Linked DNA regions of Oryctolagus cuniculus. The protein of the gene in region 1 binds, or shares a complex with, the protein of each later gene. Links are inferred from orthologs where the notes say so. Each region holds a gene or a part of one and is shown on either strand. Other genes may lie near its edges. The genes, in order: STK11 and CAB39.

Region 1 (3,789 bases):
TGCTGCTCTGGCCTGTGTGCCGGGGCCCGGGGCGGGGCGGGGCGGGGGCGGGGTCCAGGGGCCGGGGGCGGGGCCGGGGGGATCCAGGGGCGGGGCCGGGCCCGCGCTGACCCGCGCTGTCTGCAGGGATGCTGGAGTACGAGCCGGCCAAGAGGTTCTCCATCCGGCAGATCCGGCAGCACAGGTGCGTGGCGCGGGCGAGGCCCGGCCGGCGCTGTCTCCCACCTCCTGGGCCCCGGGTGGGGCAGCCGGCTTGGGCCTGTTTGCAGTGGCTGGCTGATTAGTGAGGGAGGGAGAGCGCGCCTCCACGTGCCGGTGCCGTCCCCGGCGGCTGCGGTGGCCGGGCTGGGCCAGGCGGAGGCCAGGCCTGCGTGGGTCCCCTGTGCAGGCAGGCCTTCCCGGCGCCCTACAGGGTGCTGTGGTGCACGCTGGCTCGGTGCTGGCCCCCTGCCCCCCGGCCGTCTCCGGGGCAGCGCTGCGGCGCACGGGAGGGAGCCTGCAATGGGGGGGAGGCAGTGCCGGCCGGGCCAGGGCAGCGGGGTGCGCGGCGCCAGGAGCCCCGGTCGCCCACGGCCGGGCTTTTGCAGCTGGTTCCGGAAGAAGCACCCCCTGGCCGAGGCGCTGGTACCCATCCCGCCGAGCCCCGACACCAAGGACCGGTGGCGCAGCATGACCGTGGTGCCCTACCTGGAGGACCTGCACGGGGGCGCCGGCGAGGACGCCGACGGCGAGCACTTCGACGTCGACGACGACATCATCTACACTCAGGAATTCACCGTGCCCGGTGAGTCCGCGGGCTGCGGCCGGCTCCGCCCGGGCGGCTCCGCCCTTTGGCAGACTCCGAGCGTCCAGCCCGGCCTCTCCGGCCCAAGGCCCATCGGGAGCAGGTGGGAGACCCCTGGGACAGGAGCTGCTTGCCGTGGGGACAGACTTGGGGTGGGGGCTCCTTCTGCCCAGTCCCTCCCCGCCCAGCCCTGACAACCCCGCTGGCCAGGGTCCCGCAGCCCCTACCCCTCCCGCAGTCCTGACCCCACCCCCTGCAGCCCTGACCCCACCCCCCACCCCCACCCCGGCCAAGAGGGTCTGGGGGTCCTCCCCTCCCGCAGCCCTGACCCCGACCCCCGGCCGTGAGGGTCCGGGTCCTCCCCTCCCGCAGCCCTGACCCCGCCCCCCGGCCGTGAGGGTCCAGGTCCTCCCCTCCCGCAGCCCTGACCCCGCCCCCTGCAGCCCTGACCCCGCCCCCTTGCTTCCCCAGGTGGCGAGGAGGTCGCTGAGGCAGGGCTTAGGGAGCAGAGCAGCGAGTGTGCAGCCCTCTGTGGAGACAGCGCCAGGCCCTAGCGTAGCCCAGCCGCAGGCTCCGCCCACAGGCCCTCCCCAACCAAGGCTCCGCCCACAGGCCCTCCCAGCCGCAGGCTCCGCCCATTGAGGCCCTCCCCAACCAAGGCTCCGCCCACTGTGGCGCCCTCCCCAGCCATAAAGCTCCACCCACAGGCCCTCCCCACCACAAGACTCCGCCCGCTGTGGCGCCCTCCCCAGCCATAAAGCTCCACCCACAGGCCCTCCCCACCACAAGACTCCGCCCGCTGTGGCGTCCTCCCCAGCCATAAAGCTCCGCCCACTGTGTCCGTCGCCCTTGCTTGCTGCGGTGGCCCCCCCAGGCCCGAGGGTTCCTGTCCACTTCCCTCAGCGAGAGCGCGAGGCCTCTCCCCCCAGGCCCCTGTGAGGCTGAGCCGGGCGGGCGGGCGGGGGCGGCCCTGGAGCCGGCCCAGGTGGTGGGGTGGGCGGGTCCTGAGGGGTCTGTGCTCCTCTGGACACGGTTGGGGTCTGAGGGTGCCCGGCCCCCGGTACAGCTGCACCCAGAGAGGCACCCCCAGGACTGTGTGTGCCGGGGGCAGTGAGACCCTGGCCCGCCGGGCCCCAGGGAGGCAGCAGGGCAGGGCTGGGCAGCCCCCCCCCCAGCCGAGCGGCAGTGCCACTGGGGCCTTGGGCAGGGCGGGGTCCCCGGGCCTGGCGGGTGAGAGGGGCCCCTCTGCCCTGGGCCTGGGGTGCTGGGCTCCGTCCCTGCCTGACCCAGGCCCGTCCCCCGGGCCCTGCCTGCGGGCTGCCGAGTCAGGCTCCCCCGCCCTGTTGGAGGGGGGCTGGGGGGCTCTGGGGACGCCTCTGCGCACTCCCCCACCCCACGGTGAGGGCGCTGTCCGGTGAGGCAGGGTGGGCAGCAGCCGAGCCCTTGGGGCCCCAGGCTGGGGGAGTGGGCAGGGTGCTGGGCTCTTCCGCAGCCGGGCCACCCGGCCCCTCCCGTCCCGCAGGTGAGTGCCGGCGTGGTGGGGGGCGGGGCCGCAGGGCAGCCCAGGCCCAGCAGACACCCCTGGGTGGACGGCTGACGCGGCCGGCCAGCTCTCCACCTGCCTGTCAGGGTGGGCAGCGGGCAGGGGCGGGGCGTCTGCCCGGAGCTGCCAGCAGGGGCGCGGGGCGGCCTGGCTGCTGCCCTCGGCTGAGGCCACACTGGCCGGCTTCCCGCAGGACAGATCCCCGAAGAGGAGGTGGGCCAGAACGGACAGAGCCGGGGCCTGCCGAAGGCCGTGTGCATGAACGGCACGGAGTCGGCGCAGCTGAGCACCAAAGTGAGGGCCGAGGGCCGGGCCGGCGCCGCCAACCCAGCGCGCAAGGCCTGCTCCGCCGGCAGCAAGATCCGCCGGCTGTCGGCCTGCAAGCAGCAGTGAGCGCCGCCTGCAGGTGGGGTCCGCGGTGGTCACGCCAGGCCCAAGCCGCGGCGGGGAGGCGCCCGCGTGGTCCCTCGCGCGTCACGGCCGGGCCTGGGGCAGGGTGGCCATCTGAGCAGCCGGGGAGCCCGATTGGGGGGTGGGCCGGCCCCCGCGGCCTGCGGTTGTCCTGGCTGCCCCGCCCCGGGTGCTGCATTGCCGACCCGTCTGCGGCCACCCAGACTGCTCCGGGGAAGGCCCGGGCCGCCGTGACCGCCCCGTCCTCTCGCAGCCTGCCTCCGGGAGTCTCCGCCAGGGGGCGCGCTCCCCCAGTCTTCCCGCCGGCTCCCGGCCCAGCGCCGCCCGCCCTCAGGACAGCGGGCGGCCCCGCGGCCCGGCCTCCCCTGGCCGCCTGCGCGCAGCGGCAGGGCCGTGGACACGACTTGCTGACTTTGCAATCCTGCCTGAGCCTTCCCCAGGCGCAGAAGGGAGAGGCCCGGGCCGCCGTGCACTTTACCTTGAGACTACTGGCTCTGCGCCCGCCGCACGGCCCCGCCTTGCATGCAGAGCCGCCAGGGAGCCGCGCGGCTGCCTTGTTTTCCTCGTTTGGTTGGTTCCTTTTCTTTTTGTTTTTTAAGAAAAAATAAAACAGGTGGATTTGAGCTGTGGTGTGAGGAGTGTTTGGGGGTCGTGGGGTACAAGACTCTAGCCCAGAACGCAGGGGCCGCGGTCGGAGGCGGGCGCCCCCTCCGCGGTGGTCCTCCCTGCCCGGGGACCCCACCCCCGCCCCGGGCACGCCCCAGAGACAGCCAGGAGGCGAGGCCTGCGGTACACATTTTTATCAACCGGGAGAGACACGACGAGGACACTCCAGCGGGGCTGGCGCGAAGCGGGGGGCGGCGAGGGCCGCCCATCTTTTGGCAATAAATAAAGCTGGGGGAACAGGGCCGTGCCCGGCGGCTTCGCTCCCGTCTCTGCCCGGGCGAGGGGCGGGCACCGTTCATGCGGAGGGCGGCGCGGGGACGCGGACACACACGGGGAGGGCGGCGGCCTGCGGCTCGCGCATGCACCCGGCACCGGCACCGGCCGT
Region 2 (4,420 bases), on another chromosome or scaffold:
GAAAAACACTTAATATGAGAACCTGCAGGGGCCAGGGCTGTGGCGCAGTGGGTTAAAGCCCTGGCTTGAAGCAACAGCATCCCATATGGGTGCCGGTTCGAGTCCCAGCTGCTCCACTTCCAATCCAGCTCTCTGCTGTGCCCTGGGAAAGCAGTGTAAGATGGCTCAAGTCCTTGGGCCCCTGCACCCACGTGGGAGACCCAGAAGAAGCTCCCGGCTCCTGCTGTTGGATCGGCACACTCTGGCCATTGCAGCCATCTGGGGAGTGAACCAGCAGATGGAAGACCTCTCTCTCTGTAACTGTCTTTCAAATAAATAAAATAAATCTTCACACTTGATCTTAGCCAAAAGGCCGAGAAGCGATTAAATAAAATAAATCTTAAAAAAAAAAAAAAAAAAGAACCTGCAGTCTGGGGACCTGTAGTCTGGGGCAGGCATTGCAGCACAGTGGGTAAAGCCGTCAGCTGAGACGCCAGCATCTGTTATGGGTGCCAGTTCGAGCCTCAGCTGCTCCACTTAGGATCCAGCTCCCTGCCCATGCACCTGGGAAAGCAGTGGAAGATGGCCCAAGTGCTGGGCCCCTGCACCCATGTGAGGCTCCTGGCTTCGGCCTGGCCCAGCTCTGGCCATTGCAGCCATTTGGAGAGTGAACCAACACATGGAAGATTTCTCTCTGTAACTCTCTTTCAAATAAATAAAATAAATCTTGAAAAAAAAAAAAAAAAAGATGCGAATGCACCTGAGTGAGCTGCCCTGCAATAAACGTCACAGAGCTTGGTCAGGCAGTCAATCACTTCACGACAAACTCCCCTAACCCCGAAGAGCCACCGACAGAAAAACCAAACCCCGGCTTGGAGCACTGGGAGAGCCTGTTTTTGGGGAGTGGGAGGGGCAGCACCCCTCCGACACAGGGCTCTCCACACCCCCTTGCATCCCTCCTGACAACTCGCATCCTGCCAAGCACAAGCTTCACGCAACAGCCCCAGGACCCAACCCTGCAGAGAAGTTAGGACGCACACGCCTGTCAACCCTGTAACACATTTAAGGGGCTTGTCTTCCTCGGGAAAAACATTTTATATGAAGATATACAACCACAAAAAAAAATTTAATGAGATGCGAGGTCTACAAAAAGTTCATACGAAAATAAAATGAGAAGTTTGTTTTGGAGCAAGATTTTTGCATGCACGCTTACTGTCCACGAGACACGTTTCCCAGGGTCATTCTGATGACCCCGGGGATTGCACGCGCAGGTGAAGAAGAAAACAAAACACAGGCAGAGACTGGAGGGGAAACACGCGAAAATGCGAACAGCGACCAAACCGAAAAGGTAGACAATTCACAAAAGCCCTTTTCGCAGGGCTTGCTTTTTCCACCGACCACGGTACCACCGACCAGCCGGGAAGCACTGGCAGTCGCCCGTCACACCCACTAAGCTCACCTCTGAAAGCTGCTCACAGAGCAAAAACCCCAGACTCCCAGGCAGCCGCTTAGTACTTGTTCCTCATCCGGGGGAGGGAGTGGGGGGCAAAAAAAAAAAAAAAGTACAAAATAAGCTAAACTCTCGCTTCTGGCCTTCCGCGCCTGACAATAAAGCCACCGCTGCCTTCCCGTGGAGAGGCGCACGTCCGCCTCCGCCCACCGGGCCGCGCCGCCCGGGGGCCGCCTCGAGCGGAGCGCCGGCGCGGCCTGGGACACGCGGGGCGCGAAGTTCGGGCTGCGCGTTTTAGCCAAGTCACCGACAGCCACGCCGCCGGCGCGCACCCGAGCCCGGGCTCCGGCCGTCTCGCGAGAGGCGCCCCGCGTCCACCTGCACACCCAGGAAGCCGCCGCGCTGCACCGCGTCGACTCCGGGCCCGGCCTCCCGCTCGCCCCTTTCACGGGCGCGCCGGGAACATCCTCTAGCCTACATTTCCGGGCTCGTGAGTCACCGAGAACCGCCGCTCCAACAGCTCCTGCGCAGGCCCCCACGCCTCTGGAGCAGGCGACCCCGGCCAGCAAAACCCGCGGCCCGCCGGTCTACACCAAGCAGCCTTTTTTTTTTTTTTTTTTTTTTTAAATACCTTTGTCCTCCTGCACCGCCCCCACCCCAAGGCCTTCAAGACGCTGCCGCCCTGCCTCGCCCAGGAAGCCCGCCAGGGTTTCTGCCGGGCGGAAGCCATCGATCGGACGGGTCCCCCTCCCCCCGCCCGGGTACCCTGCTACCCCTCGCAGGGTCTTATCGCCTCCTTCCCGGGATCGCGGTTGCTGGCGGACGCGCCTTATCTCCCGCCCCAGAGCCCGGGGAGGCGACCGCGGGGCCGGCTGCACCTCTGAATGCATCCCCGCGGCGCGGCGCCGCCCGCCCGCCCGCCCGCCCGCAGTCAGCACCCGGGGCTGCTGCAGCCCAGCTCGGCGGCGCTCCGCCGCACAGGTCCCCATCCGAGAGCCGCCGAGGCGTCTCCCGACAGGACCCCCGCCGAGGCGCGCCCCGCCTCGCGGCACCGGCGTCTCCCGGGCGCCGGGGGCAGTGACAGTTAGCCCCGGCCCGCACCGCCCCTGCCCTCCCGAGAGCCGCGCGCGGCCCCGGGCGCAGAGGGCAGGGCCCCCGCCCGGCCGCTCCCGCCGCCCGAGAAAATGGAGGCAGCCCGGGGCCCGTGCGGGGCCGGCGGAAGCCGGGTCACTCACGGGGCTGGGCCGGGCCGGGCGGCTCCCTCTCCGCCTCCGCGTCGTCGCCGTCCCCGTCCTCGGCGGCCGCCGCCGCCTCGGGCTGCTCGCTCGGTCCCCGCGGCGCGGCTCGGGCGCTCGGCCCCTCCGTTGTCTTCCGCCCGCTCCTGCTCCCGGCGGCCCGGGGGCGCCCGCGGTGGCCGCCGCGCGGCTGCGCTCGCTCGGGCTGCGGCTGCAGGCGCTGAGCGGCCCGGCACCGCCTCCGCCTCGGCCCTCAGCCCCGCTCCGGCAGGCTCAGTGTCTCTCAGGCCCCGCGCCCCGCGCCCCGCGCCCGGCCCGAGCCCGGCTTTGACGTGCGCACTGCGCAGGCGCCGAGGGCGCGTCGTCGGGCGGCGCCGCAACGCCCCCTGCGGCCGCGGGCGCCCCCGGGCGGCCGGGCGGACTCAGGGCGCGGGAGCGGGAAGGCCGGGCCCCGAGTCCTGCTTCCCTGGTCAGGCCGGCTTTCCACCAAGACTCCCCAGCGAAGCTTTATTTCCGCGGAAGGCCTGGAGCCGACTTTGTGCAGACCGACTCTCCCCTGCCTGCGCAGAGGGGCAACAGTTCAGCGCCCCAGCGAGGGATGGGCATGCAATGAGCGGCAGGGTTCAGTCTGGACTGAAGTCTCAGCTCTCGCATGGTCCACTTCATGTCCCCGTGCCTGGATTTCCGCACACATTAAAATCCGAAAAGGGTAATAATACAGGGACCCGAGCCCAGGCGCGTGCGGAGGAGCTCGGACTGCGGAGGCCCGGACAGAAAGACACCGGCCATGTCTGCTTTTGCTTCTTCGTAAATGACCGAGTGTTTCTGAGCGCCTATTGTATGCACTGTAAGTGGAGGGGCTGTGTTCCCCACCCCCCCACCCCCGAACCCAACAGTGAATCCTGGGCGGCTTTGGGTGCTCCGCAGAAAGCCAGGGCTGGGTGAACAGGGGAGAGAGGCAGGAGGGATGTTACTTATGCTCCTCTGGGGGCAGCTACTTGAGGAAAGTGAGGGCCTTGGCCCTTTGTGCAAAGCGGACAGCGTGCAGGAGGTGCTAGGTGAGTCCCAGGGCGAGTGCGGAGCCCTGCGGAGGGGCGGGGGGAGCACGGGGCACCCAGACCACGCGGAGGATGCGATGCAGGGTTCTGAGCAGAGAAGGGGCGCCGTCTGACATTTCACAAGGATCCCCGCAGGCTGAGTCCTGCGGGGAGGCCCCGAGAGGCTGCTGGAGCCGCAGGTCCAGAGAGGCGGGCGCAGGGCAGGGGAGGTGCACGGAGGTGGCGGGTTCCAGCCGCATTCGAAGGCCGGTCTGCTGGGGCTGCGCTCAACTTGGTTTTTCTCAAGCAGCTGTGAGCTAGACTTTGGTGACAAGGGGAGGACTTCCACAGAAACGGGGGGGACTTCCTTTGGCGGGATCCTGCGCCCAAGCTGCCCGCTGGGCACAGAAGCGGGAAGTTGATACCGGAGCCCAGCGAGCGGTCAGCCCCGGAGTCTCCGGAGTAGGCTCAGGACCCCATGAGATCATTTAGGGAGTGAGTGGGAACAAAAGGCGAGGCCAAGGAGCAAGCTGAAGGGGCCAGCCCCGCGAGATCGGGAAGGGAAGACCAGTAGGGCATTCTGGGAGACCCGCAGGGGATTCTGGGAGGCCAGCGGGGGATTCTGGGAGACAGTGGAAGATTCTAGGAGACCAGCAGGGGATTCTGGGAGGCCAGTGGAGGGTTCTGGGAGGCCAGTGGAGGATTCTGGGAGACCAGTG

Evidence for each region.
Region 2: the proteins of STK11 (region 1) and CAB39 are in contact, whole or in part, in a crystal structure (PDB 2WTK), measured with the Homo sapiens proteins. The link is inferred for Oryctolagus cuniculus from reciprocal best matches to the Homo sapiens genes STK11 and CAB39. Residues at the interface, in NP_000446.1 of Homo sapiens: Gln100, Arg103, Arg104, Glu165, His168, Ser169, Gly171, Leu201, His202, Pro203, Phe204, Ala205, Ala206, Asp207, Asp208, Phe234, Arg301, Ser307, Arg310, Lys311, Lys312; in NP_001124321.1 of Homo sapiens: Gln109, Gly111, Thr112, Lys196, Leu197, Leu238, Asp239, Arg240, His241, Phe243, Met246, Ile250, Val280, Ala283, Asn284, Pro285, Glu317, Gln318.

What each region holds. Positions count from the first base shown.
Region 1 is NC_091447.1:58,649,274-58,653,062, forward strand, and holds the end of STK11 (serine/threonine-protein kinase STK11), read left to right. Parts: intron 1-126; coding exon 127-184; intron 185-587; coding exon 588-784; intron 785-1,255; coding exon of another isoform or gene 1,256-1,338; exon of another isoform or gene 1,339-1,394; intron 1,395-2,520; coding exon of another isoform or gene 2,521-2,525; coding exon 2,526-3,346; 3' UTR 3,347-3,361; downstream 3,362-3,789. Other genes in the region: ATP5F1D (ATP synthase subunit delta, mitochondrial), read left to right, coding at 3,764-3,789. UniProt on the Homo sapiens protein: Tumor suppressor serine/threonine-protein kinase that controls the activity of AMP-activated protein kinase (AMPK) family members, thereby playing a role in various processes such as cell metabolism, cell polarity, apoptosis and DNA damage response.
Region 2 is NC_091434.1:8,419,600-8,424,019, forward strand, and holds the start of CAB39 (calcium-binding protein 39), read right to left. Parts: upstream 3,003-4,420; 5' UTR 2,665-3,002; intron 1,623-2,664; exon of another isoform or gene 1,439-1,622; intron 1-1,438. UniProt on the Homo sapiens protein: Component of a complex that binds and activates STK11/LKB1. In the complex, required to stabilize the interaction between CAB39/MO25 (CAB39/MO25alpha or CAB39L/MO25beta) and STK11/LKB1.